7 linked regions of the Rattus norvegicus genome follow. The protein of the gene in region 6 interacts with the protein of the main gene of each other region in a pairwise test. Links are inferred from orthologs where the notes say so. Each region holds a gene or a part of one and is shown on either strand. Other genes may lie near its edges.

Region 1 (4,011 bases), on a different chromosome or scaffold from region 6:
GCTCACATGCCTCCAAACTTACTTTGCTTTTTTGGTTTTTTTTCTGTTTGTTTTGTTATTGTTCGTTCTTTTCTTTTTTTCCCTGCTCTTTTCTTTTGCCTGTTTTCTAGGTAAAAGATGTTGTAGTTGGCTTTATGCTCCTTGCCTAAACGCCCACCCAAACTGCTCTCAAGCAAGCACTGGACACCACCTGGGAAACAGTTTTCTCATTTGCTCCTGGGATGAACAGGTTTTCCTGGGCCAAACCTCCCTGCATGTGGTCTTGGATCCTTTGAATAATAAAGGAGCCCCCTTGGATAGGCTGAATGACCCAGAGTTGGTGCCAAAACGGTCAGCAGCTCCCTGCCCCACAAGTTTCGGTGTGACTTGGCTCCAAGTGCTATGGCCACCTTGGGCATGCACCCAGTGGACATCTGTCAGGCTGAGAAGGAAATAGCCATGTGCAGAATACAGTGTCTGTGGGGAGGGAACGGGGCTTTCTAAAACTGGTATATAGCTTCCCTGAGCTCCTAAGGACCAGAGAAATTGGGATGCTATCAGGCTAATGGCTTATAATTCTGTGTCTTTGGACTCATCCTTGCTTCTGAAAGTAGCACAGCACCCCACGTTTCCCTTCTAGGAGAAAATACGAAGACACTCAGGGTATGGGTGCATGGCGCTACTCTCTAGGGAGGTGCACCCTCCCCACAAGCCTCTCTACTGTCCCCTGGTATACCACTGTAACAAAGGCTCTGCCACGACGTGTTTTCAAAGTTAGCTGAAGTCTCTTGCTCTACCAGCACACAATTGTGATGACTCTAAAGGAGAGAAGGGAAAACAGCTAGAAAACGGTGGGAAAGAGATCCTGGGAAAGCAAAGAAAAATCTGCCTGATGCAGGAGAGGCTAAGAATTGTTTTCATTCTGCCGGCTGCTTTTCTCTGTGTTCAAAGCAGACGCTTCCAAGAATTGGATAAATAAAGGGATCACACCAGAGGATGCGAGATAATGCTAAACCAACAAAAACAAAGACCAAACGAAACAGAGTGAGCCATGAGAATATGCGGTTATCAAAACTTTGTTTGGCTGTATCTATTTATCATCGCCGCACACCCGGGCTCTGCGGAATATCATTCTGTTGATGTCACTTATCCTCAGCAAAATATTTACACATCCTTAAAAAACGCCAGATGAGGGAGGCTGGCCCTCTCGCTGCTGCAAGCCGCCTCTCAAGCCCATTGCCAGGTCTGGGCAGCTCAGAGGTGAGGGCACAGGGTGGATGGTATCAGTGGATACAGGTAAGAACAACTGATAGTTTTAGGAATGTGGCCACCCAGGCGCTGTGCCCTGCCCAGCCCGGCCCACTTCTCTACCTGACTCTGTAAGAAGCAGCCACATCCCCCAGCGCCTTCTCCTCTTCCCCCTCCCTTTCTCATTGATTAAGTTCCCAAACCATTGTTAAAGCTGGATTGCCGCCTTTTAAAAAACGGCTAAATTCATTAGGTTTCTCTCTTCCAAAAGAGAAATATTCATAAAAGTTTGGCAGTCAAAAGAGAGGCTGACTGAATACCTTGGGGTGGGTAACAAGTCACTCTTCGCAAAGCCACGGTCTTCCTTCATGCCCTATCTGTTTCTCCACCCATCCATCGTGCCCCAAACCCACTCCGCGGACTTCGGATAGGGAAACACAAAGCAGCAGCTGTTTGGCAACATTTCGACCCCTCGCCAACAACTGTGGTGGGATGCCATTTCCCCACCCAGGCGGAGCTTATCCTGAACAATAGTAGGGGTTTAAATGGCAAACAACAAACACACAGAGCAAGTCCCAACCCCGAGGAAAAAAAAAAAGCCAACGCGCAGGAAGGCAATAACTCCCTTCGCAGCAAAAGGCGCCACTGAAATGCACGCATACAAAAAAAAATGCAGCCAGAACGCTGCTTGGTGCCTAACATGGCAGAAAGCCGGGGCTGGTGTGGCCACCCCGGGTCTGGGCACTGTGGGGGCACCAGGGCTCCCAGGGCGCCGACAGGCACTCACCCTGCTCCAGCGGGATGCGGGACTTGCTGAGCGGCACAAAGAAGATCCCAGCACGATCTGGCAAAAACCAACTTTCCACCCAGCTCGCCAGGGCCGCCAGATACGTCAACAGAATCCATCTTTCGAAGGGCCTGGAAGGCGCCTGGTTTTCCTGGCTGGGGCAGAATGGCAGATACCGAGACAAGCCCGGTGCGGTGCCCGGGCACGGAGCGCACTTCGTGCCGCCCTCTAAGCCCAGTGCCAGAGCGGGTGGCGGCCCAAAACCCACTTCGGGGCCCCCGCCCCACCGGCTGGCGCCGCCTTCCCGACTGTCCCCGGCCGGGCTGGCCAGTGCGTAGCGCCGGCCAGCAGGAGCCTGGCCTGGGCGAGCAGCACAAGTGGTTGCCTCGACCCGCGTCCCCGCCCCCGCCCGGCCCTCCCCGCTGGCCCCGGCCTCTGGGCGCCGTCCTGCCCCCGGGAACAGGCAGGCCCCTCCCCGGGCGCCGGGCCCCGCCAGGCGCGCCCAGTCCGGCGCGCCCCCTTCGTCCTGGTGGCAGGTCCGCCTGGGGAGGGCGGGGGTGACCCCGACCAGCACAGGGGTGCCGCAGCCGCTACCTCGGGATCCGGGCTGCCGCCTCCAGGAAGCCACGGGGTGGACGTTGGTGTGGGAACTCTCTTGGTCTGGCCTCGCCGCTGGGCGCCTGAAGGGGGTGCACAGCGATGGGAGCCTCTGTCTTTGCTGTCACCCAGCCGCTGTCGCTGGCCGCCACTGCCGACTGTGTCTGTGCGCGTGTGTGCCTGTGTCCGGGAGAGTGTGTGTCTGCGTGCAGCGCCTGGCCTTTACTATATACACCAAGGGGTGGGAGGAGGCGGGGAAGGGGAGGGCTTGGGGGAGGTGGCGGAGGAAGGGGAGCAGGAGGGGGGGCGAAAGGGTACCCGAGGAGGCGGTGGCAGAGGAGGGACAGGTGATCTCGCCCACAGGGAGGGTGTGGTTGTGGGCGGTGCGAGGTGACAGAAGGCTGGGGAGCTGGAGGCGAGCGCTCTCTCTCTCTCTCTCTCTCTCTCTCTCTCTCTCTCTCTCTCTCTCTCTCTCTGTGTGTGTGTGTGTGTGTATGTGTGTGTGTATGCGCGCGCGTACATGCGTGTCTGTGTCTGTGTCTGTGTGTCTGTCCGTGCTCTCGGGTTGGGAAGGCCTGGACGAGTGGAGACTTTGCTGCTTCCAGGAGATCTGGAGTCCGTTCTAGATCTTAGGATGAAAAGCAAAAAAGAACAGAGCCCTGAAAGGGAAAGTGTTTGGTTGATAGAAATGGGAGCATTCAGAAGAACAGCTACCACCCTCCCTAATATGCCTCAGGAGATTGCGGTCTAGGTCAGAGATGACACTCCCAAGGCAGGACATTAGCAAAGACAAAATTAGTCCAGAAACAGAATATCGTGTCTAACCAAGAAGTGATTCACATATTAATTTAACATTTATTATGCACCCAGTGTTTGCCAGATACTGAGTTATGTAAGAACGGGAGTTACAGACATGATGAATACATGTCTGGTGTCCCATAAATAAACACTATGAATCAATAAACACTGGTCATCAAAATTGTTTTAAGTCTAAATCCATTTTACAATGTTTTAAGAATGCAAAGGAAGCAACTGTATTATTGGTTTAACGTATCCTCAGTGATGCTGAGGTTTTTCCTGTTAAAACAGGATGACGATATTTGAGAGTGAATGCTACAGCAAGAATTGCTTTAACCTGGTCAGAGAACAGTGTGACTCTTATAATCCTTTGTACACTCAAACCCCTTCAAGCTTCAGCATTGTGGCTATTAGTTGTGGCTTTTCTCTAGTAGAATTTGGGGTGACAAGGACACAAAATACCTAGAGAGCTGCCACCTTAACCCACCTGTTGATAACTAATACGGGAACCTGTACTTGTATGTATAAGGGTTCCTTCTAACCATGATGTTATGCAAACCTACTGCAATAGTATCCAGGGCCAAATTATGACTCTGTGGGAG
Region 2 (3,500 bases), on a different chromosome or scaffold from region 6:
TGAGAGCAACTGTGAAAATGCTTGTGGCTCCTCTCCTAGGAATCCAAGTGGAGACTGCTAAAAGGTAGTTCCTCCAACCTCCATGTCTATCATAGGTGCTGATTAATATCACTTTCTTGTCTTATCAGTGCCTGACTTAGGGCTTGATGTATAACGGGGCCTCAGTCAACGGTAGTAAGACGAATGATGAATATATGTTTTTCTTCCTGATTCCCCCCAATTTTCAAAAGTTTTTTTTGTTTTATATGTATGCATATTTTGCCTGTGTATGTTTGTGTACTGCAAGTGTGTGCATGGTATCTCTGAGGACCAGAAGAGGGTGTCAGATCCCCTGGAACTGGACGTAAGTATTGTTGTGAGCCAATGTGTGGGTGCTGGGAACAAAACCCAGTCTTCTGCAGGAGCAACAAGTGTTTTGTTTATTTCTTTCTATCTATCTATCTATCTATCTATCTATCTATCTATCTATCTATCTATCTATGTATACCGTAGCTGTCTTTAGACACCAGAAGAGGTCATCGAATCCCATTACGTGGTTGTGAGTCACCATGTGGTTGCTGGGATTTGAACTCAGGACCTCTGGAAGAACAGTCAGGGCTCTTAACCGCTGAGCCATCTCTCCAGCTCTCTATTTTTATTTATTTATGTCTTTTGAGACAGTGTTTTCTCTGTGTAACCCTGGCTGCCCTGGAACTTGCTTTGTAGAGCAGGCGAGCCTCGAACCCACAGAGATCCGTCTGCCTCAGCTTGCAGAGTGCTGGGATTAAACACATGCACCACCACATATGGCCTACAAGTGCTCTTGGCTATTAAGTTGTCTCTACAATCCCTCGTCCCTCCTGTTAAAAGATCTATTTTTAATTTTTTACTTATGGGTTTGTGTGTGTGTAACTTGTGCTCAAATAAAATTATGTGCAAAGAGGCCACAAGAAGGTGTTGAATCTTCTGGACCTGACATTAGAGACAGTTATAACCACCTGGGGTGGGTGCTGGGAATGGAACCCAGGTCCTCTGCAAAAACAGCAGGTCCTGACTGCTGAACTTCCAGTGGCACACTCCTCTGACCCCCACTTGACACGGGCTCTGATACGGGATGACAGCTGCTCAGGGACAGTGGGCTTGTGGGAACCTTTCTCCTCACCCTACACAGTCTGGCACAGTGCCCCACGGATGCCTGTCAGTAATACTGTCCGACAGTTGTGGGCTTCACCCCTCAGGATGGGACATGGAAGGATGTGGGAGAGAGGCCTTGAGGCTCGTCCTGCTGCCTGCCTACTTGAACCTTTTCCTGAAGAGAGAGAGGATCTCTGTAGCCGCCTGGGTATCAGTTACTTCATTTCACTTTCCAGTCACTCCTGGCTTTTGGGGTCCAGTCCTGGGGGACCCAGGCAGCCTCTGTTCCCAGCACAGTCCCCCTCTGGGGAAGACATTTTGGCTGTAATCATGGAAAATTGTGCTGCCAAGAAAGTTGTAGCTGAGAAAAAGGCTGAGGAAGAAGCCTGGGTAGGGGTGGCGGGAGAGGAGAAGAAAAAGTTGTGGGTGGAGGGGGGAAGGTCGGACGGGAAAGGCGATTCTGGATGTGGGGCAGAACTCAGGTGAGGTTAGAGGCTATGAGAAACCTTCTCTACTTCCACACCAGCGGGCATGACTGAGTGTGGGGATCGCAGAGCCACCAGTGGGTACGGTCTTTGCTGGACACGTGGCAGAGGGGAAGCAGACCCATTTCTAGCCTCTTGCCTGGCCTCTGAAGCTGTCCCTGAACCACTGTGGTGCCAGTCTGTGTGCCCGTTGCTCTGGTTCCAGGCATTCTTGCCATTCTGGCTGGGTTTCAACTGGACCAGGGTTAGCGAGGAGGGCAGAGTCTGAGGCTGGGGCCAAGTAGGGGGTGGGGGAGTTTGTTGTGAACAGGTGCTGGCGGGAGTCGTTCTCTTAGGCTGGCAATGCTGGCAGGCTACTCCGACTGGCATGTGTGTTCCTATGTGTGTACCCACCCTTTCTGTTGGTTCTTTGTAGAGAGTAAGGACGCATGTGACAAGAAGCTCTGTTAACCCGTTCTTGCCAGAATTTGAGAAAAACATCTTTTATTCTTTTCTCTTTAGTACTGAACGCTCTGCCCGGCCCCGAGGAGTTGGGGCCAGGGAAGCTCCAGGGTAATTGGAACACTCAGGACTGAGTCTAGCCTTTGTCCTACCCTACAGGCTGCTGGTGGGTGCCCCCCAGGCCCTGGCTCTTCCCGGACAGCAGGCAAATCGCACGGGAGGCCTCTTTGCTTGTCCCCTGAGCCTAGAGGAGACAGACTGCTACAGAGTGGACATCGACAGGGGAGGTGTGGCCTTGGGAGGGTGGAGTTGGGGCGGCATGTGAAGAGGGCAGGACTTTGTCTCCTGTTCTGTCCCCTGATTCCCAATGTATTGCCTCAGCTAATGTGCAGAAGGAAAGCAAGGAGAACCAGTGGCTGGGAGTCAGCGTGCGGAGCCAGGGAGCCGGGGGCAAGGTTGTTGTAAGTACTACTCCCTGCAGAAGTGATGATGATGTGTGTGTACACTGCACTAACTGGGGACATGGCACAACTGATTCCCACAACCATGGGGTGTAGACAAAAGCGCAAGACATGGTCCCGTTCCTTATCCATTTAGAAATATTCATCTGAGATTTGTATCTACTCACCTACGCCTTTGTCACAGCACTGCGTTTTCTTTCTTTTCTTTCTTTTTTTTTTTTTTAATTAACTTGAGTATTTCTTATATACATTTCAAGTGTTATTCCCTTTCCTGGTTTCCGGGCAAACATCCCCCTCCCCCCTCCCCTTCCTTATGGGTGTTCCCCTCCCAACCCTCCCCCCCATTGCCGCCCTCCCCCCATAGTCTAGTTCACTGGGGGTTCAGTCTTAGCAGGACCCAGGGCTTCCCCTTCCACTGGTGCTCTTACTAGGATATTCATTGCTACCTATGGGGTCAGAGTCCAGGGTCAGTCCATGTATAGTATTTAGGTAGCACTGCGTTTTCTTATCGTCAGCCACTATGCTAGTTTCTGAGAGAGGACTTGTGAATACAGTGGAGGTCTGGGTCCTGCCGAGCAGCTATGGAGAATCTTTCTGGCCTGGGACTCAAAGATATCCTTCTGCCTCTGCTTCCTGAGTGCTGTGATTTAAAGTTGTGTGGCACCATGCCTTTTAGTCATGACCTCTCTCTCTCTCTGTCTGTCTGTCTAACTAACATTCATAGAAACGCTATTATCAATGGAAGGCACCATGAGCCTGAATATAACTAAATGGTCTAGCCTCTAGCCCACAACTCCAAAGGAAGAGTAGAAAAAGGGGCTTCTGCAGGCATGGTGGCTGAGTCATGCTTCTGAAATTGGTAGTACTCAGAGAAGAGGCACAGGGCATGTCCTTCTCAGAGGTGATGGCTTACAAAGATCTAGGCAGAGGCTGGGATGTGACTCGGTAAAGTGCTTGCTCTGCGAGCACCTGAGTTGGGTTCCTAGAATCCGCACAGAAA
Region 3 (3,980 bases), on a different chromosome or scaffold from region 6:
CGCTATCCTTCATGAGGAGAAAATATTTTTCTCCTCCTAATATCATGTAAAGGGTATTTACTTAAGAAGCATATGGGTGTGAGCAACACAATATAACTCAACAGAAAGATGGCAATTTGCTGCCTCTGAGAGACAATTGCCTTACCTCACTGGAAATACTACCAGTCTGTAAACAAAAAAATACATACATATATATGTTAAATTATAGATCCAATTAGGACTTCAAGATCATTAAAAATGTAGTAATCTTAGAGTTGGAAATTTGTCTCAATAAAAACTCTTACCTCAGAGGACACAGTGAATGCATCCTTCTGTAAAAGCAAACAATTAAAAACATTATGTTACTATATCAACCCTGTTATTAAACATACTTTCTGCTTGATTTGCATGTCTTTTTATCTCTTTCAGAAATAAAAAAATTGATATATGGCTTTCATAATCTTGAAAACTTATATTTACAATCTCTTTGATATTTTAATAAGTTTTTATAGGTACATTATTATATTACATAAAGGTGTACATAAACTTTGACGGCTGGCAAAAGTTACTTTGCTTTCCACTAAACACTTTCTTATTATGCCTATGACTCTACTCAGAGCATGGCCACAATTCTGGATTGTATTTCCTCCTCTAAATATCTCTTTGGACAGGCACAGTAAGACTTGATCTGCTCATCTAAAGAGGTGCATGCACTTTATCATCAGACTGAGATACTCAAGCTGCACATGTGAGTCTACTTTTGTGAAGTCATGTTTATTTGATGTATTTCTATCGCCTTGCTTCAATTCTTATTTCTGCTTTTGTTGTTGTTAGAGAATTTGTCACACAATAGTGCAGTAAGCACTTATTTCAGCTTGGAGAGCCTACAGGAACTTTGAGACCCTGGGTGATTCTCAAACAAGCGGTGACTAAATAAAGCTATCCCAAACTCTCCATTGATTGCACATTAAAAGCTATCACTGCTGTTATTGTGTATAAGTGAGCAGACTCATCTCTACATCTTAATTACTTAGGAAGCTTCTCTACACACCTCCCTTGCAAGAGCAAGTGCCACAAGGCAGGCAAGGATGAAGACCTTCATGGCTGTCAAGTCCTGTGAATGAAGAGAAGAATTAGAAACAGATTAGTCAGCAACAAATCAGAATCTGCTCTGGTTCTTAAATACTCCTATTACTAAGCCCTACACTCAGACGTCAGCTGCGGCCATCATCAGCGTTCGTCAGTTCACAGCTCCTGCCATTCTTTTCTTTTTTAACTTTCCTTTGCTAACAGTTGCATGGATGCCTTACAAAAGCTATGGAGAATGCATAACTAGCCAAACATTCCACAAGTCATTCATTTTAAACTCCTGAGCACTTACAGGTGGCCAGACAATGAACAAAATATTAATATCTCAGTTCTATGGAGTCTCACATTCACATCTAGAATGAATTAGTAGACAAAGTGTATTAACTGTTTTGTTGCTTGTGAATTATCACAGCATGAAAAAATAAAAATTTAAATATATTTATAAAGCATTCTTTCCAATACTTGAAGGTGGAAAACTATCCCATTAGTGAAAAGAAGTGGGTTTGGTTTTTTGTTTGTTTTTCTGATGTATGTTGTATTATTCATTATCAACACTTTGTCTGAAGCTTCCTCCATGGGTTTCCACATAATCCAATCATCCTAGATTAAAAGAAAGTTGTGTCTTTGTGTATTTTAAATGTGGGGAGAATACCACTGCAGTTCTTGTATTTAAACCTTGGCATTTTATACACCAATTTTAAACCAGAACTTCACTGTTATGTGGTATGTTCTAAGCTACAGTTCTTTCAACTCATCTTACTTCAATGATCACTAGTTCTAAGTGAGTTCTGATAAAGACTGAAGGAGCTGAAGGGGTTTACAACCCCATAGGAAGAACAACAATATCAACCAACCAGACCCCCCAGAGCTCCCAGGAACTAAACCACCAATCAAAGAGTACACATGGAGGGACCCATGACTCCAGCTGCATATATAGCAGAGGATGGCTTTGACTGGCATCAATGGGAGAAGAGGCCCTTGGTCCTGAGAAGGCTTTATGCCCTAGTGTAGGGGAATGCCAAGGAGGGGAGGAGGAAAGGGGTGGGTAGTTGTGTGGGGGAACACTCTCATAGAATCAGGCTGGGAAGGAATGGAATAGGGGGGTCCTGGAGGGGAAACCAGGAAAGGGGATAACATTTGCAATGTAAATAAATAAAATACCCAATAAAAAAGAAAATAGAAGACTTTGTTTCTATTTTTTACATGGTTTCTAATATTTCTTGTAATACTATGAACTAGATCAAGAATTCCAAGCCCCTGGAAAAGTTTTATGATTACAATTTTCTTGCTTATAAACATGCAGTTTGCTTCTTCCAACAGCTATGCCATAAGTATCTATTTTCCATGATATAATTTGAGTGCATTACACTAGTAAAATACATCAAATCAAATAAGATAGCTTGTGTAGGAGATAATTCTTAGTCTCTCCTTTATAGTAGTCACTGGCTTTATATATTTTTACTACATTTACCCAATTTTATGAAGCCAGGGTCATTATAATTTGTACCAAATTTTTCTAGGCATTTCTGACTTTCAAAAGCCTGTCCTTGAAAATAATCTCACAGTTTTTTAAAATATCTATTTTCAGAAAGCTATATTTTAAGTAAATCTCTTCTTTCTATAACATAGTCTAGTATGGGTTTGAAATAAATAATGAAAATAATATTTCAAACTTACGTCTGAAGTTCTTACCTTTAGCGGAGGACAAGAGAGAAGATGAAGCTCAGAGGATGATGGTCTATCAGACTCTGTGACTGTATATATACCATACTTAATGACATGCTAATTTGTGGTTCGTAAGATATTCAAAAGTCCCTTAATTCCAAGAAGTCCACATGATTAGAAAATGGTTTCTTTCTATTTTCTTTCCCAAGAAATTCTGGGGGACATTAAACAAGGCAGCAATTCAGAAGCTGGTGAAGGAACTTGTCCAGGAAAGGAAATTGTCCAATAACTGGACGTCTCTCCAGCCTAGTACACAGTCCTCAGCACTCTCCCCAGCCTAGTGGGGGGCTTTAACCTCACCTATGTGGCAATGATATAGAGACATCAAAATTCACAAAGCTTTAGAGAGGCCAAGATTTCATCTCCACCTGAGCACTAAGAACTCCATAATGCTAAGATAGACTGGTCATGAGTAGCATACTTTTTGATTGCTCACATTCACCAGATTTGGGAAAATTTAAATACATTCAACTAATATTCAGTACACAGGGGACTGCGTTTTACATAGTATTAGAACAAGTCAGAAAAGGAATCTTTAAGGTTTGTATAAAAGATAAAACTATGAATCTGTAAAAAGAGAAAAGTTTGTAAAACGGGCTTAGAATAAATCAAATTCTTGGCTTAAATAATAAGGCCTCAGAGGTCTACAAACACCAAAAAAGGTATTTCTCTCTGTGTGTGTCTCTCTCTGTCTCTTTTTGTGTACATTTCTCTCTCTCTCTCTTTCTTTCTCTCTCTCTCTCTCTCTCTTTCTTTCTCCTTTCTTTCTGTTCTTTTATTGAAAATAGGCATGTAAATGTATTTACTTAGCAATCAGTTACCTTTTTCTTCAGTTATGATAGTCATAATAGTAATTACAGATACAAACTTTTATCTTTTTAATGCTATGCGTAACAGCCACTAACTACATAATAATCATTATCTTGTCATCTTTTTGCAAAACAACTTGAAGTTGCTTTTTTTTCTCATTATCAACATTTAGGAAATGAAGACACTATATGTACAACTTGCTCAGTCATGTTACATTTAATGATAAAGTTATAATACCCACTCTACATTTGTCTCGCTACAGCTGATTTTTATTTGGTCACATGTAAGTTCCGTGGCCCATACTTTAACTCTTCTGGGATTTTGTCATGAAAAACTCAAACTTAAATGTATTATTTTTGTTTCAATGTATTAATTTA
Region 4 (3,500 bases), on a different chromosome or scaffold from region 6:
AGCGCCTCCGATCGATTTCCCTCACCCCCCCTTCTGGTCCCCACTCATCCCTCTTGCCTTTCTGCTTTGCAAATTGTCTTCCTTCTCCATTTCTGTCTTCTTCAACGTTTACTAAGTCTAGATTTTACATGCGAGAGAAAGTGGGTCTGGATTGTTTCTCTCAAGCTGACAATCCCCATTTGACCCATCTTTCTGAAGATGACACGATTTCGCTTACTGTGTATACACCGCGCGTTCCTTATCCACTCGTCTCCGGTTGCTTCCATACCTTGGCTGTTATGAACAGTTTCCTTCAGGCACGTATGTAAGAGAGGCAGCTCGATCATATGTGAGAAAGGCCCGTAGTAATTTTTACAATGCCTCCACTACCTCCTATCCCCTACCAGCCGTGTACAGAGGTCCCCCCTTCCCCACGTCCTCACCAGCATGTGCTGTTTTCTTGCCCGTGAGATGGTACGTGATTGTAGCTTTGAGTGGCAGTCCCCTGACGTCATGGCTCTTCTTCTTCATCCTCTCTCACCCTCCAGGAGCTTCAGAAATATGAGCAGTTCATCTTCGCAGACCACACCAATATGATCCATGTTGAGAACATCTATGAAGAGATTTTGTATCAGATCCTCCTCGATGAGACCCTGAAAGGTGAGGAGGGAGCACTCCGAAACGGGGTGCACTCTGGAAATAGGACTCAGGAAGGCCGTAAGATCAGAATGCGGAAGAGTTGAAACTGAGATTGGTCTGCAGGGGTGACAACAAGGAGAGGGCAGATAGGAAGGAAGGACCAACCTCGCCTCATTCACGAGGTGACTGCGCCATGGGCCGTGTCAATCCTCTTTCAACGCAAGCATGAATTCTGTAGGACAAGAACATAAGCTTTATCATCAAAGAGGAAAGAAACCAAGGCTTAGTGCGGCTGAACTGAGGGTCTGGCAGGTAGATCTGTCCTTGCTACTCTGTGTTAGAACACCGAAAGACTTTCAGGGCTGGACGGCAGTAGGGCCCAACCATTGCTCTCTCAGCACATTCCTCCCCTCCAGTCAGATGGACAGAGACCCAGGGCAATGGCATAGGACTCTGAGAGCCTCTTTAGGACTCTGGCATCTGCTGCAGTGTGGAGCGGGGCCTTGTCTGTGATCACAGTGGGACTAGTTATGCATTGGAAATACTCTGCAGGAGGCTGCCAGCCATCTACTGGAGTGAGACACATTTAGTAGCCATTATTAAAATGCCTCCAGTGAGAAAACTGGTCCAGTCCAAGCCTCAGGTCACTGTAGCTGGCCAGGAATCCCAGGCGATGAGGAGGGTAAAGGGGTTGGCATGGTGTGTGTGCATAGGCCATGGACAGCCTACTGCACACATGTCTTAGTTCAGTTGGAAGAAGATTCTTTTGCACGGCCTCCCCTCTGCCTGAAACTTGCTATAAGATGGTGCCTGTTAGAGCAGGGCACTAGTGCTGACTACCCCTAGTGGTTCTGCCTCTGCTGTAAGACCCACTTCAAGTTGGCATTGTTGGACACTGTAGCCCTGCACAGAGAGGTCTGTGGCTGAACCGTCATGCACTGTTACCCATGCTGTTACTTTCTTTGTCCTTCCAAATGTTCATCTTGAACACTCCAGGCCAAACAAGCTCTCTCAGCTGGATGTTTAGCCCTGAATACCCACTACGCAATCGGGACCACACTGCCAGACAAAACAAGGAAGGGGAAGGCCTGCCCCTGCCTCATTAGAGTTCCAGAGCAGCCACTTGTCACAGCAGCTGGTGACACTGATGAATATGATACCCCTGGAGACTTTGAGTTCTTTACAAGCAGAGGTTTTATTATTCTCCACATTGGGGCTGGTCTCAGAATAGATGCCTAGCAAGTGTTTCTTGATTGAAAATTTCGAATGAACGCTACCAAGACTCAGAGTCTGGAAGGTTTGCAGGTTTTGGTCATCAGGAAGGGCGGCCTGTGAGAGGGTGGTCGTGAGATGGTTCTAGAAACTGAGAGTTTGGGGAGCCAGAGGACAGGAATGATTGGCTCCCGGGTAACGTTGGAAAATCCAGGTTTGCCGGGCAGAGCGCTAATGTGGTGTTTTGTTTTCTGCTCCCTCTCAGTGATAACGGAAGCAGCTATCTTGAAGAAACACAACTTATTTGAAGACAACATGGCCTTACCCAGTGAAAGTGTGTCCAGTCTGACAGACCTCAAAACCTCCATGGGGTCAAACCAGGCCAGCCCAGCCAGAGGAGCATCTGCCATTCTCCCAGGAGCTCCAGGCGATGAGGCTCCAGGCAGCGAAGTGTTCCAGGGGCCTGAGGAAAAGCAGCAGCAGCCTGGGGTCCCTGGCTCGCTGGCCAGAGAAGAAAGTGCTTCCATCTCTGGGTCCAGCCCTCCTTCAGGTGAGGATGGGCAGGTGTCTGTGTCCGGTGTGGATAACTCTGCCGGGAACCCTCTCAGTGCAGATAATTCAGCAGGACCTCTCAGCTCACACTTGTCAGAGGCAGAAGCTGGGGAGCCCCCTAAAGATGAGGAAACAGCCCACAAAAGGCCAGAGTCTAGCGCCGTGCCAGGGTCCTTGAGGGAACTGAAGGAGTTGTTGACTGTGACGGTGTTCGTCGAGTCTGCCCCAGAGATTGGAAATGATACACTAAACGGGACACCTGTTCCCCAAGAAGATAAAAAAGAAGAAGAAGAGGAGGAGGAAAGCAAGATCCACCCAGAAGCCAGCGGCCCAGCTGCCATCCAGCAGGACAGCTGTGAAGAAAGTGAAGTCAGAGAGAGGGAGGCCCATCCTATGCCTTTGGAAGCTGAGGCTCCTGGGGTGAACTTGGGGACACTGCCAGAGGGTAGAGGGCCTACCTCTCAGTCTACCGGTGAGGGACTCACTGAGAACACCAGCTGTCTAGGCCCCATAGAGGAGCCATCTGAGGCTCAAGGGCCCACTGAGGAGGTGCTCCTAGCCACAGTTTCCACACAGGACAGCACCGAGGCAGGAGGTGAGGCTGTGCATTCTGTGACAGTCACACCTCAAGAAGATGCCACGTTAAGTTCTAACCCCATCTGTCCCGTGGAGAATAATGAGGGGCCCCAGGTTTCTGAGGATCAGGAAGTGCTGGGAGGGAATGATAGCCCAGCCCTTGCTATGGATACAGAGCAAATCAACGATGCCCATGTGTATGAGTGCCACTGGGAGGTAGAAGATGCCCCGAGCGCCGACATCCTAGATGTTCACGATTGTGATGTGGGCTCCCCAGGGGAGTGGTAGAATCAGTTTGCCGGTCTTTTTTCTTTTAAAACTGTCAGTCAAGGGGTATTAGTTATGGGTATCCTTAGGGGGTTGCATGTGACTCGCTATAAAAATTATGAAATGTTTCTTTAATTTGAAAGATGAAGCCAGAGTGCACAGACGGTGGGAGCAGTGAGCAGGCTTTGGGGCGCTGAAGTGCTCCCCATGAATGATCTATCACTTTGGCATTTTAATAGGAATGGTAAGAGAACTGAAGCATTGGGGCAAAGTCA
Region 5 (3,500 bases), on a different chromosome or scaffold from region 6:
ATTCCAGTTCTAAGGAATCTGACACCACTTTCTGGCCTCCAAGAGTAGTATCAGGCACACAAGTGATATACCAACATACATGAAGACAAAACATCCAAACATACGAACTAAAATAAGATAAAAAATTACCCAGCTGAGCATTTTACTACCTCTTTGCCCACTGTCAGGCAGTCATTCTGCCCCTAAAAATGACTGTAAGGTGGCAGCATCACTTACCGTTAACTAGAGAACACCAGTTTCCTGCAGCCTACACTGCTGTTCTTCCAGGATAGAGGTGTTGCTGAAGTACCGGCTAAAAGACATCAAGTCTAAAGCAGGCTGGGCTTCGCTGTGTGACCACTACAGAACACATTTTGTTCTGATGGCTGAAGGGATTCAGGCGCATTGTGCTTTCTAGAGGTAATCCTTCTGTGCTCTGGTGAGCTGGTATTTTATTGACTGTATTTCTGATTATCCAGGTCATTTGGTCAGTTTTGGAGATTAACATTTCTTGCTTTTATCTTATCAAAGTCCTGTTTGTATTGTCGGTTCATTTGAACGTTTCAAAGGTCACTGCGTTAGGAGGATTCAGAGTAGTCTCTCAGAGTCCCCTCTAGAAGTGAGTAGGATTCTGTGTGTTCTTCCTTCTTACAGAAGTCAAAAAAATGGGTTCGGTCCCCAGCTCCGAAAAAAAAAATGGAGGCTGACTTACTGGCATTCTTCCATAGAAGTCCTCACCTTTGCTTTTTCTGGCAATCAGGTTGGTAGGAGGAGGCAGGCATGACCGTACCCAAAAGGAGTGACGGGATTACGGCCTGCAGAGCTTCTAACCCAGTCCTGGAAGACGGACAGTGTGTGTCTTGAGAACCATCTTTAAGCTTTATCCCTGACACTGTGTGGTCTCTGAGCTAGGCCACCAGTTAGTACTGCAGCCCTACTGCCGTCACCTCTGTCCTTAGGACTCAGTAAATACGGGTGAAGAGCTGTGGGTGGGTCCCTAGGGACATTCTGGCCAACATTTAGAGGTCAATACCTTATTTCATGTTTCTTCCCTGTGGGTTGGATTCATGGCTCTTATGTCAGATTGCAAACTCTAGTTGAGCTGGCCACCAGAAAACCTCTTTCCACTGGTAGATAAGGTTGGCACTGTGCCAGAGCCTACTGTCTATCCCTCTGTGTTGTTTGCCTCAGTCATAGGTATCATGTCTGCTCTGGTGTGCTGTCTCAAAATGTGTCCCAGGGCTGCCACATTTGTTCTTGACCTGTCTTCACAATTGTTCCCACAGAACAGAGTGAAAAAAGTGGAGATGGATAAACAACACTTTGGCCGTTATTAGTGAATATTCTCCAACTTTCTCTACAGAAAGAAGCTTTACAGTTATTTTTTTTTCTTTTTTTTTTAGAGCTGGGGCCTAGGGACCCACCCACATATGTAATTTAACCAGCACTTTGCCAAGCCTGTAATATGTTCTCATTTTCACTTGGATTCCAGAGCATCATTTAGGAAAGCCACAGAAAGCCTACTGCAGCAGACTTGCTCAGGATTCATGACAGGCCAGATACTTCAGAACTAGCAGCTGACTGCTTTTTTTAACTTAAGGTGTTACACATTGGCAGTTAAAATTAACAATAAGAGGAGTTCATTTTGGGGTTGGGGATTTAGATCAGTGGTAGAGCGCTTGCTAGCAAGGCCCTGGGTTCGGTCCCCAGCTCCGAAAAAAAGAAAAAAAAAAAGAGGAGTTCATTTTGCCTTTCAAAAAGAATGTCATTTAAAGCCTCCTTTTGTGACTGTTGCCCTCATCCCAAAACATAATACGTATGGTTTTGTAGCCATGGATACTGTCATTTAAGAACAAATGTGGCTGCAAATGTCTGAAAGAGCAGCAAACACTTAGATAGTGCATTTGGGGTAGAATGCTCAGTTGGTAGGCAGTTCAATCTCCAGCACCGTGTGTACCAGGAGTAGTGGTGCAGACCTGTGATCCCAGCATTTGGGAGGGGGGAAGCAAAACAATCAGGAGTTCAGGGTCATCCTTAGCTTTGTAAAGTTTAGCCAGTTTACTAAGTTTTACTGAGTCTATGCCAGGTATTGTGGCACACACACCTTTAATTACATTATTCAGGATATGGAAGCAGGCAAATCTCCATTAGTTGGAGGCAAGCCTGATTGTTACCGTAGTGAGACCCTATCTCAAAAGAAAGAAAAGATACATGAGACCTTGCCTTTTTTTTTTTTTTTTTAAGTCTGGTATGTGGTGGTGCAGGCCTTTAATCTCAGCACTTGGGAGGGAGAGGCAAGTGGAACTCTGAGTTTGAAGACAGCCAGGGCTACTCAGAGAAACCCTATCTTGAAAAACAAAATTGTATTTCATTAATCTGGTTACATTCCTGACCCTAGGTTGATGGACAGATTTTGTAATCTGATTCAAATAGTTGACTAAATCAAATGTGGTGGTTCACACCTGGAATTCCAGCACTCAAGCAACAGAGATAGGAAGAGGGCCTGGTCTGCATGGTGAGTGACAGGCCAGAGAGAGCCTATATTGAAAGCCTGTCCATAGAGAGAGAATGAGAGTACACAAACAGCTGTTTCCTTGTGTGACAGTGTTGCCATGGTTTATAATGCTTGCAGGTCTCCCTGGCCTTCATGCAGACAATCTACAGGCTTTGCCTGCAGTGAGCAAGTTTCAGGTGTGTGTGGTTGGGTATGGAAAGCCGGTGAATGAGAATGATATGGTGACTTCAATGGAGGAAAGTTCTGACCTGTTGTGGGTCTGTTTGTTTTAAGAAAATGTACTTGAGGCTCAAGAGTTAGAGGTGAATGGTTGGTAAGGTTTAGGTCTCTTTTAATTTTCAGCTAAAACAAATGGCATTAAAGCACTCCCCTAGTGAGATGTCAGGAATGTGTTGGCATGGACAGTATGGATGAAACTCTGTTTGTTTCCTACTAGCGCATGGATCAAAGTGGAGCAGCTGAAGCCTTACCATGCTCACAAGGAGGAGATGATCAAGATCAACAAGGGCAAGCGGTTCCAGCAAGCTGTGGATGCTGTCGAGGAGTTCCTCAGGAGAGCCAAGGGCAAAGACCAGGTGAGAGAGAGAGGGGCTGCAGTGGTCCCTCCAACATCAGGCCAGTGGTTTGCATGGTTCTGAGAAGATGGTTTGTGTCAGACACTCCTTTTCCGTGAAATGCCTAGAAGAGGACACCTGTGTCCAGAACTCTGCCCGTGGCTCCCTTTTTCTAAGGCATGTTGTTTTGGGAGGAGTCGCTCACCTTCACAGCACAGGCAAAGAGCTTAGGAGTACAGCCACCTCTCACCTTTGGGGCTGTAGACAAGCGACATGTTTTTCTTTTTTTAAGCTGTCTTTCCAGCACAAAGAGAGGTGAGCAAGGATCCTGTTTCTCAGGGTGCTATGAAGACAATTCACAGAACTGCTGAGAGAACTGTGTGGCCCATGTTGATGGCAGTGGTGATAGTGGCTGTTGTAGTGGTTATCATTATTATTGTTGAACTTTCAGA
Region 6 (4,287 bases):
CCAATCTCAGCTGGTATAGAAACTGTTCACCTCATCTAGAGTCCTCACCATTTAATTGAGATAACTAACTTTACCAAAAGGAGCCGAGGATCCCTGGAGAGGCCAGATACAGCTAATGCTGACTACGGGACAATTATCCTAACTCCCTTGCCTCTCAAGTTCTGAGGTCCCACCATGGAGACCCTCTGGTGACAGCAATCAGGAAGTATCATCCAGAAGAAAGACACCACACGGTTCTTCCTGCCTTAAACGGAAAATGTGTTGCCCTCAGCACCCCTCGGATGGAGGAAATAACAAGCCTACCCCACACGACTTCTACCACTGTGATAGTTCTTCACTATCTATTTGACTGGGCTTAGACTCACCTAGGTGACACACCTCTAGAAGAATCTTTGCGGTAGTTCCTGAGATGTTTAACTGAGGAGGAAAGACTGGCTCCCAAAGTGGACGGCACTTCTCTAGAGCTGGGCAAAGAAAACTGAGCTCCAGGTCTCCTTGCTCGCTATTTCTTGACTGAGAAGACAATGTGACCAGCCACTTTACATTCTTACTGAGGCCATACCATTTTAGTGATGACAAACTATATCCTTTCATAGACTCTGCACCCAAATGAATCCCTTGATAAACTGTCACCTCATGACCCTGAGAAATCACCAACCCCGGCCTTCATTGCCTCTCCACATGCCCATCTTCCACCCTGTCCGGGTGTGGACCCATTTGCTCAAGAGCAGATGCTGCCTTTCCTAGGCGTGAGGATACCACATGCCTCACAACACAGTCTCGTGTCCCTACTAAAGACCAACTCTGCAGAGGACCTTGGCTTACAGTGTGAAGGCCACATTAAGACCAGCGTTTTCTTTGTGCCAGGAGGGAGCCACTGAATGTCCAACAGCTCTCAAGCCCTGAGTGTTGAGCATAGGACCTTCTCTCAGTGAGCTCCCTGGTGGAACAGGCTCATTAATGATTCTCTAGGTCATTGGTTTGGTTCATTCCATGATGGAAAGGTGTCTGCAAGGCAAGGCCCAACAGACTACCATGCCAATGTGTGCGCTACACACACATAGTTCCTTCCCCCACATCTGCAAACGACCCATCCATCCATGCTTGCACCAGGCTGCAACCGGGCAGGGACCCTGCAACCCAGAGGAGGGTCCTGGTGTTAGTAGTCCCGTGTCATTCCGCCCTTGGGTGGCAGTGGCTATAGCTCTCTGCATTGCCTAGCAACAATCCCGGGAGCCAAGTCCAGGGCGCAACGATGGTTGACAGTGTAAGCCAAACACCAGGAAGCAAGGAAGAAGGTTAAGTCAAACAAAAGGTCTGTGGTAACGTCAGCAGGGGGAACAGACGACGACCGGCTGCTGAGGGGCGCTCGCCGCCGCGCCCGGCTCTCCAGGCCAGCGCGCCCAGCCCGCCGCCCCGGCGCGTGTGTCCTTATATGGTCAAATGACTCGGCGGGGGTTCTCGAGGGCGGGCGCAGCGCCGGCTGCACTCCGCCCGCTGAGCCGCTGCCGCCACCGGTCCACAGTCCGCTGGGTTCCCCTAGACCCCGGCCTCACCGTGTGTGAGTACTCCTGGCGCCGCCCAGGCCACAGCCCTGCTTGGAACACGAGGATCCCCACCAGACAGCTGCTCTAGGACGCGTGGAGAGACACCAGTGGCCAGCGCACCCGGACCGCGGGGCGGAGACCCAGGAGACCGGAGCAGAGCTGTGCAGACCGCATCAGGGTAGGGTCCCGAAACGGAGAGGACAGATCCTGGCGGGAGGAGAGCCCTATTTGCAGAGGACACCCGGGATGGGGACCCCAAACGGAAAGGACAGATCAGGGAGAGAGGAGAGTGTAGCTGGGCAGAGGATACCCAGGATGATGACCCGAAATGAAGCGGAGGGAGTCAGGAGGGAAAGGGGAGAAGGTGGATCGGAAATGTGGCAGAGGCTGAAGGAAAGGCTTGAGGGGAGATCTCAGGACCCGCGAGTTGATCTACTGGGAGACATCCCTAGGAAGAACGGATGCGGGGCAGAGAGGACCAAAATCATGCGTGTTGGAGGACTTGAGCACAGGAGAGCCGAATTTGGAAATGGTGGGGAAGGGACTGTTGGTGTCCAGAGGGAGGGTGGCGGCCCTGTAAAGGTGGATCACTGCCAGGTGGTGGGAAACGATGAACTGCCCACAGGTCAGCCCCCAGAGGTGAAGTGGAACTGGTTCCTGAAGTCTATGGGAGGGAGGTGACAGGCTGGTCAGCACGTGGAAGGCCAAGCATTTCCCTTGAGAAGAAGTGGGAGTTTGCCTGTGACCACACACCTTGACTAATCCCCCAAATTAAAACCTGAGCCGTAGGGTTAAAAAAGAAAAACAACTTCTTTAGGATGAAAAGAATTCTGATAGATTTCAGTCTTATGGAAAGAAAGTCTTGAAATGCTTTTTCTGATTTAAAGTGAAGAAATGGCCATATTTGCTTGATAATCTTCAGTTGTGTCTCTGGAACTCAACAAAGAACGCATTTTATGAAATATACAGCTGTCTTCGGTAAAGCCAACTTTCTTACACATATTTCGGGAAGTAATTAACTACAATTTGGACTTATAGTTACAAGGTTGCCTTCGAAACACTGCTCTAAATGTGTCTCGTGTTGGGGTGCTACTTTGCTTATGTGTAAATTTCACAGTAATGCAATAGAGAAAGGGTGTTTGTGGGTGTGGCTTGTGGGGGGGATTGTTTTGTTGTTGTTGTTTGAGATAAAGCTTCATTCTGTAGCCAGGAAAGCCTGGAATTTACTGTGTCATCCCAGGTAGCTTCAAACTGGTGCCTATCCTGCCTCAGCCTCCAACGTGTTGCAATTGCAGGAGTAACCTACCACATCCTGCAGCTACAGTGATCTAGAACCTCCCCGTCGAAGCCCCACCACCATAGAAACCAATTTGCATTAAGTTTTAGAATTCCCAACCCAACTAAAGTTTAATAAAAAAAGAAAAACAAAACAAGATTTAAATCATTCTTTCCCTCATTCTTTTTTCAGATTCAGTGCTCTCCTAGTTTTTAACAGAACAGTATGCAGTGTTGGGGACCCCTGTTGTGGCTTCTTTTCCTTCTGCCTCCTTGCAGCCCAGCCTCCCAGGCAGGATAGGGATGGGTATAGAAGTCTTAGCTGGCAGATGTACTTGGAGCAGAGCCAAGTCTATCAGGGCCTCAGTTTCCTCCCAGAGAACTAGATAACTATTGCATAGTATAAGCACCATGTGTAGATTTTAAAGCCTCCTGTTCACAGAGAAAGAAACTTAAATAGAAAAATCAAAATAATTTGATGTCCAAAGTTTCCCAGCCTGTAGAGTGTGGCCCCAAGAACTGCCTCCAGATAGCTTGATATCTGAGTTCTGACCTCTATTCTCTACTACGATGCATTGAGAGAATATTCTGTTGAGGCCCTAGACCACATGTTTTGACCCAAGATTGTTAAACCACTTCAATACTGAGTGATATCTCAACTGCAGACAGAAATGCCCAGCAGGATATTAAAAAAAATAAATGAATAAACAAAAAACAAACCCAGCTAACTAAACAAACACAACTCAGAAGGCCAAGAAGCCTGGATTCTACCCCTGTTCTGCACTGAGAACTGGCTACCTAACCTGACACACCATGTCAAAGTCAATGTATTGACCAAGCCAACTCTTATCAAAGACAGCGTTTACTTAAGGGCTTGCTTACAGTTTTGAAGACTTAGTCTATTGTCATCATGGTAGGGAACATGGTGGCACACAGGAGACCTGGTGCTGGAGAAGTTACTGAAAGTTCTACATTGTGATCCACAGGGAGAGTTTGGCCTGACGTAGGCTTTAAAACCTCAACGCTCCAGCCCCAGAGACACACTTCCTCCAACAAGACCATACCTCCTAATCCCTCTAATCCTTTCAAAGAGTTCTACTCCCTGGTGAACATATTGTCAAACATATTTGCCAATGTCATCCTTCTGATTCAAACCACACCTCGGGACCTGCCCCATCTGTAACCAGCTGTGATCTGGATATGATTTTTTTCCTCCAAGACTCACGTGTTGGAAGTTTAGTTATCCTTGTGTAAGTGTTGGGAGGTAGGGCCTTTGAAAAGTGGAGTCTAGGGGCTAGAGAGATGGTTCAGCTGTTAAGAATAATTACCAAGGGTCTGAGTTGGCTCACAACTCATAATTCCCTGTAACTTCTGCTTCTAGAGATCTTACATCTTCTGGATTCAGTGGACACCTGCACAAGCTCATACAGATACATACCACACATAAGAAATAAGTCTTAAGAGA
Region 7 (3,809 bases), on a different chromosome or scaffold from region 6:
CGCATTGCGGGTTCAATTTCTAGGATGCTAAGCCATGGGGGTTCTGATGCTAAAACAATTTCTAGGATGCTAAACCATGGGGTTCTGATGCTAAAACAATTTCTAGGATGCTAAACCCTGGGGGTTCTGATGCTAAAACAATTTCTAGGATGCTAAACCCTAGGGGTTCTGATGCTAAAACAATTTCTAGGATGCTAAACCCTGGGGGTTCTGATGCTAAAACAGGAGTCTCATTTCATAGTGTTCCTGAGCATCTCCAGGTCCAAGAGGAGACCGTGAGTTCATATTGCCAAGATATCTTGGAGATACATTTACTAAAAAGTAAAAATAAATTTAATTTTAACACTTGATTTGTGGGCAAAGGTGTAAGAGTTCTTTGAAATTTTAAAGACAAAGGACAGACCTTAGGACCCTAACCCTAACCCTAACCCGGTCCCAGCAGCCGGTGCTGCTGTTAACCTTATTCCTAGAATCGTTTTTTTCCTGAGTGTATCTTGAGATTGTCTAGTCAGAAGAGGAAGCTCTGAGGACTGAGAGGAACCCAACACTGAGGACCTCTGAGGCTGCTCCTAGTTTCATGACTGTCTAGCGCTTGCCATAAATTCCCCAAATGCTTCAGACTTGGCGCACAAAGGGAAAGCTGACTAGGAAGAGCCCTTACTCACCTGTGTGCGAGTGTCAGGGCTACCTGCTCTTCTGTGTGAAGTTGGTGTTCTTTTCATGGCCTTCCTTTCTTGCTCTCTCTCTCCATCTTCTTTCCGTTTGGTCCTTGTTTAGACATCTGCCTCTTCTCTGGTCAACATGCTGGACTCGCTTCCCCTGCTGACTTTCTCTGCTTCTCTGATAGATAACCAGACATGTTTCGATTCACATAACAGTGCCTTTCCTTAGACAACGGCCACTGGTGTGTTCTTCCAAGTCTTAAGTCAACCATCAGATTTCCATCCCCTTACAGCTTAGGACTCGGTTTAACTCCTTCCTTCCCTTTTTCTTTCTCCTCCCTCCTCTTCCTCGTCTCAGACTTAATTTGTGAGTGTCTTGCCTCCATCTGTGTGCATGGTGCCTGCAGACGTCAGGAGCGGACATCATGTCCCCTGGAACTGGAGCTAAAGCCACCACGTGCTTGCTGAGAACCGAACCCTGGTCCTCCACAAGAGCAGCCATTGCTATTAACTCAGAGCTTTCTCACTGTTCTCTCTAGTCATGGACTTACACCCCCACTTAGGCCAGTGTTCTCCCGCTACCCATTTCAGCAGTCATGTTACTAAACTACAGAAGACATTACAATGTATTTCCTTTTAGTTTGAAGAGTCATTTCTCAGTCAGTTATGGTGTCTCATGCCTGTAATTGCTGCACTCAGGAGGCTGAGGCAGGAGGATTGCTAAGTGTAAGGCCAGCCTGTGCCATACAGTGAGTTCCAGCCAAGGCTACAATGTCTCAAAACAGCTACTGTGTTTATTTTGTTTAGCTATTTTTTCCCCTGTATTGTCCAACTAAACATATCTCCACAGCCAACTCCCAAGACCTTTGGACAGAAAGATTTAGTTACAGCACACAACAATTCCCAAAGCTTTCCCAGCTTGGAAGGCAAATGAAAGACCATTCTCGCCAGAGTTGGCGATCCTGCCCTGTCTTGTCTTGAGGTGGGGGAGGCACATTGTAGTGCTAGGTAACCGGCCAGTCCTGAAGCCCTGTCTTCTGTTCGGTCCATGTCTATCCTGTTCACTTCTGAGAAGTTTTTGATAATATCATCATACTATAACTGATCACTCGTGTGTATATGACATTTATTTCAGTGCTAGGAATTGAATTACCCCTACGCTACATCGCTGGTCCTACACTGGCCCTGTTCTTAACGTCTTTGATTTGGGTTAGTGGTTTGCCCAGGATTGTGTGCTCTCCTATGTGCTCAGTTCATGGGCCTGTGTGCTCCATTAGCAGCTACTTCGTCTCCTCCTGTAGTTCCATTGCTGTGATGTGCATGGGGAGTTGCCTGCCAGTCCTCTTCACATGATTCGGGGCTTCTGTCTGAAGTCCATCTTTGGAGGCTTTCGGCAGATGATCTGCCCACCGTAGGAGCAAATGCCTGTTGCACGGAGTGTGTGCTGCTTCCCGGGAGTGTTAACCTACCTAACCCGCCGTCCAAACTATACTTCAGGCACCTTGAAAGGCCGCTGACGAGTACTGTAGACCTGTGTGCTAGACACTGTACCAGGGGTTTTCTACGTCCACATACCTGGTTCAGGTCCCCTGTGAGAAGATTACCAGTGAGCATTTTACATGTGAGGAAACTAAGGCCCACAGGTGTTCAATGACAGAATTCACACATTTTGGCAAGGGGTGCTTTAATGGAAGTAAGATAACCTATAGACTAAAATAACCCATGAGAAGACATGGAGCTCCACAAGGCATTTGATTACAGCCCCTTAAGAATGCTTGTGGAGAAAGCTGCTTTGCTCTAAACAAAGGAAAGGGCTTCAAGACCCTTCAGAGTGCAGAGGGCAAGACTGGAAGGAATTTCTAAAAAGTCATGAAGAACACCAGGTGTGTCATAATGTGTCCATTCGGTTACTGACACCTCCTGTGCCCAGACTGCTCAGTGTTCAGTGAGCCTTGTCAACAGCTGAAGTATGCAGACTTAGGGAATCGTGGGAAATGCTTGGAAGTAGGGCAGGTCCATAACAATAGGCCAATAACACCCCTAGAAAGATGTGGGGACTGTCAGAAGAGCCCTGCTCAGGTCCAGGCAGGGAGATATGCTTTGGGGAGAGTTGAGGGACCATGGTGATAGAGGGATAATGTAGGGAACTTGTGGGAAAAGTTTGTGCATGCTTGCTCAAGATTCAGCTAATCTAGGCGTGACCAATCTCAGCTCTTGGGAAGCTGAGGCAGCAGGATTGAGAGTTCGAGACCATCCTGGGTTAAAGCGCTGAGGAGACGGATATGTCCTGGGACTGAGCAGGACAATGCTTTACCAAAGATCTCTAAGGCTGGGTTTGCAGCACTCCAACTAGAGTACTTTCTCACTGCAGGCCCAGATGGAGTTCATGCATGGACCATCAGCAAAGCCGTGACGGCTCCTCAGGCTGCAGGAAAAATTCATACAGATTTTGGAAAGGGATTCATTATGGCGGAAGTAATGAAAGACGAAGATCTTAAAGAGGAGAGTTCTGAGAACGCAGCTAAGGCTGCTGGGAAGTACAAACAACCAGGCAGAGCTTACGTTGTTGAAGACGGAGATATTATCTTCTTCAAATTTAACTCGCCACAGCAACTGAAAAGGAAATAAAATTCAGTTTTTAACTTTAGCATATGTATGGTTTGGGGTGTTGGCTTTGTTTCGTTTGTGAACTGAAGATACAATGTTGGGATGGGACGCAGATAAATTATTACTGACGTTGAAGTAGTAGAAACCAGTCTGGTTTCCTTTTGAAAGAGTCTGGGGTGGGAGCAGTTAGGATTAGCAGTTAGGAAGGCTCGCTGTCCTTTCAGAAACCCGTGTGAGGCGGCTCACCACTGCTCGTGAGTCCAGCTCCAAGGGATCTACACATATCTCCTTCCCTTACACACGTATGAATAAAGTTAATAAAAATAATCCTTTGCAAGAAGGGAGGAAAGAGAGTTGACAAGATTTGATGCCGTATTTATTCTTAGATGTAAAGCCGGGATGCTGAGGGTGATTTATTTATTTATTATATATAAGTACACTGTAGCTGTCCTCAGACACACCAGAAGAGGGCATCGGATCTCTTTACAGATGGTTGTGAGCCACCATGTGGTTGCTGGGAATTGAACTCATGACCTCTGG

What was found.
Region 1: the proteins of Fhl2 (region 6) and Rai2 interact in binary tests that used the Homo sapiens proteins (3 or more experiments, as listed by UniProt). The two-hybrid records come from large-scale screens. The link is inferred for Rattus norvegicus from reciprocal best matches to the Homo sapiens genes FHL2 and RAI2.
Region 2: the proteins of Fhl2 (region 6) and Itga7 interact in a two-hybrid assay, tested with the Homo sapiens proteins (2 studies listed by BioGRID and IntAct). The link is inferred for Rattus norvegicus from reciprocal best matches to the Homo sapiens genes FHL2 and ITGA7.
Region 3: the proteins of Fhl2 (region 6) and Csn2 interact in binary tests that used the Homo sapiens proteins (3 or more experiments, as listed by UniProt). The two-hybrid records come from large-scale screens. The link is inferred for Rattus norvegicus from reciprocal best matches to the Homo sapiens genes FHL2 and CSN2.
Region 4: the proteins of Fhl2 (region 6) and Niban1 interact in binary tests that used the Homo sapiens proteins (3 or more experiments, as listed by UniProt). The two-hybrid records come from large-scale screens. The link is inferred for Rattus norvegicus from reciprocal best matches to the Homo sapiens genes FHL2 and NIBAN1.
Region 5: the proteins of Fhl2 (region 6) and Glyr1 interact in binary tests that used the Homo sapiens proteins (3 or more experiments, as listed by UniProt). The two-hybrid records come from large-scale screens. The link is inferred for Rattus norvegicus from reciprocal best matches to the Homo sapiens genes FHL2 and GLYR1.
Region 7: the proteins of Fhl2 (region 6) and Nrf1 interact in binary tests that used the Homo sapiens proteins (3 or more experiments, as listed by UniProt). The two-hybrid records come from large-scale screens. The link is inferred for Rattus norvegicus from reciprocal best matches to the Homo sapiens genes FHL2 and NRF1.

The regions. Positions count from the first base shown.
Region 1 is NC_086039.1:36,640,097-36,644,107, forward strand, and holds the start of Rai2 (retinoic acid-induced protein 2), read right to left. Parts: upstream 2,801-4,011; 5' UTR 2,609-2,800; intron 2,410-2,608; exon of another isoform or gene 2,015-2,409; intron 1-2,014.
Region 2 is NC_086025.1:1,947,615-1,951,114, forward strand, and holds part of Itga7 (integrin alpha-7 precursor), read left to right. Parts: intron 1-2,198; coding exon 2,199-2,326; intron 2,327-2,420; coding exon 2,421-2,500; intron 2,501-3,500. UniProt on the Homo sapiens protein: Integrin alpha-7/beta-1 is the primary laminin receptor on skeletal myoblasts and adult myofibers.
Region 3 is NC_086032.1:20,600,644-20,604,623, reverse strand, and holds the start of Csn2 (beta-casein precursor), read right to left. Parts: upstream 2,801-3,980; 5' UTR 2,761-2,800; intron 1,094-2,760; 5' UTR 1,082-1,093; coding exon 1,031-1,081; intron 312-1,030; coding exon 285-311; intron 167-284; coding exon 146-166; intron 1-145. UniProt on the Homo sapiens protein: Important role in determination of the surface properties of the casein micelles.
Region 4 is NC_086031.1:66,370,719-66,374,218, forward strand, and holds part of Niban1 (protein Niban 1), read left to right. Parts: intron 1-527; coding exon 528-639; intron 640-2,095; coding exon 2,096-3,246; 3' UTR 3,247-3,500. UniProt on the Homo sapiens protein: Regulates phosphorylation of a number of proteins involved in translation regulation including EIF2A, EIF4EBP1 and RPS6KB1. May be involved in the endoplasmic reticulum stress response.
Region 5 is NC_086028.1:11,048,624-11,052,123, forward strand, and holds part of Glyr1 (cytokine-like nuclear factor N-PAC), read left to right. Parts: intron 1-2,930; coding exon 2,931-3,069; intron 3,070-3,499; coding exon 3,500-3,500. UniProt on the Homo sapiens protein: Cytokine-like nuclear factor with chromatin gene reader activity involved in chromatin modification and regulation of gene expression. Acts as a nucleosome-destabilizing factor that is recruited to genes during transcriptional activation.
Region 6 is NC_086027.1:52,920,527-52,924,813, reverse strand, and holds the start of Fhl2 (four and a half LIM domains protein 2), read left to right. Parts: upstream 1-1,487; 5' UTR 1,488-1,725; intron 1,726-4,287. UniProt on the Homo sapiens protein: May function as a molecular transmitter linking various signaling pathways to transcriptional regulation. Negatively regulates the transcriptional repressor E4F1 and may function in cell growth.
Region 7 is NC_086022.1:59,726,426-59,730,234, forward strand, and holds the end of Nrf1 (nuclear respiratory factor 1), read left to right. Parts: exon of another isoform or gene 1-3,033; coding exon 3,034-3,290; 3' UTR 3,291-3,309; downstream 3,310-3,809. UniProt on the Homo sapiens protein: Transcription factor that activates the expression of the EIF2S1 (EIF2-alpha) gene. Links the transcriptional modulation of key metabolic genes to cellular growth and development.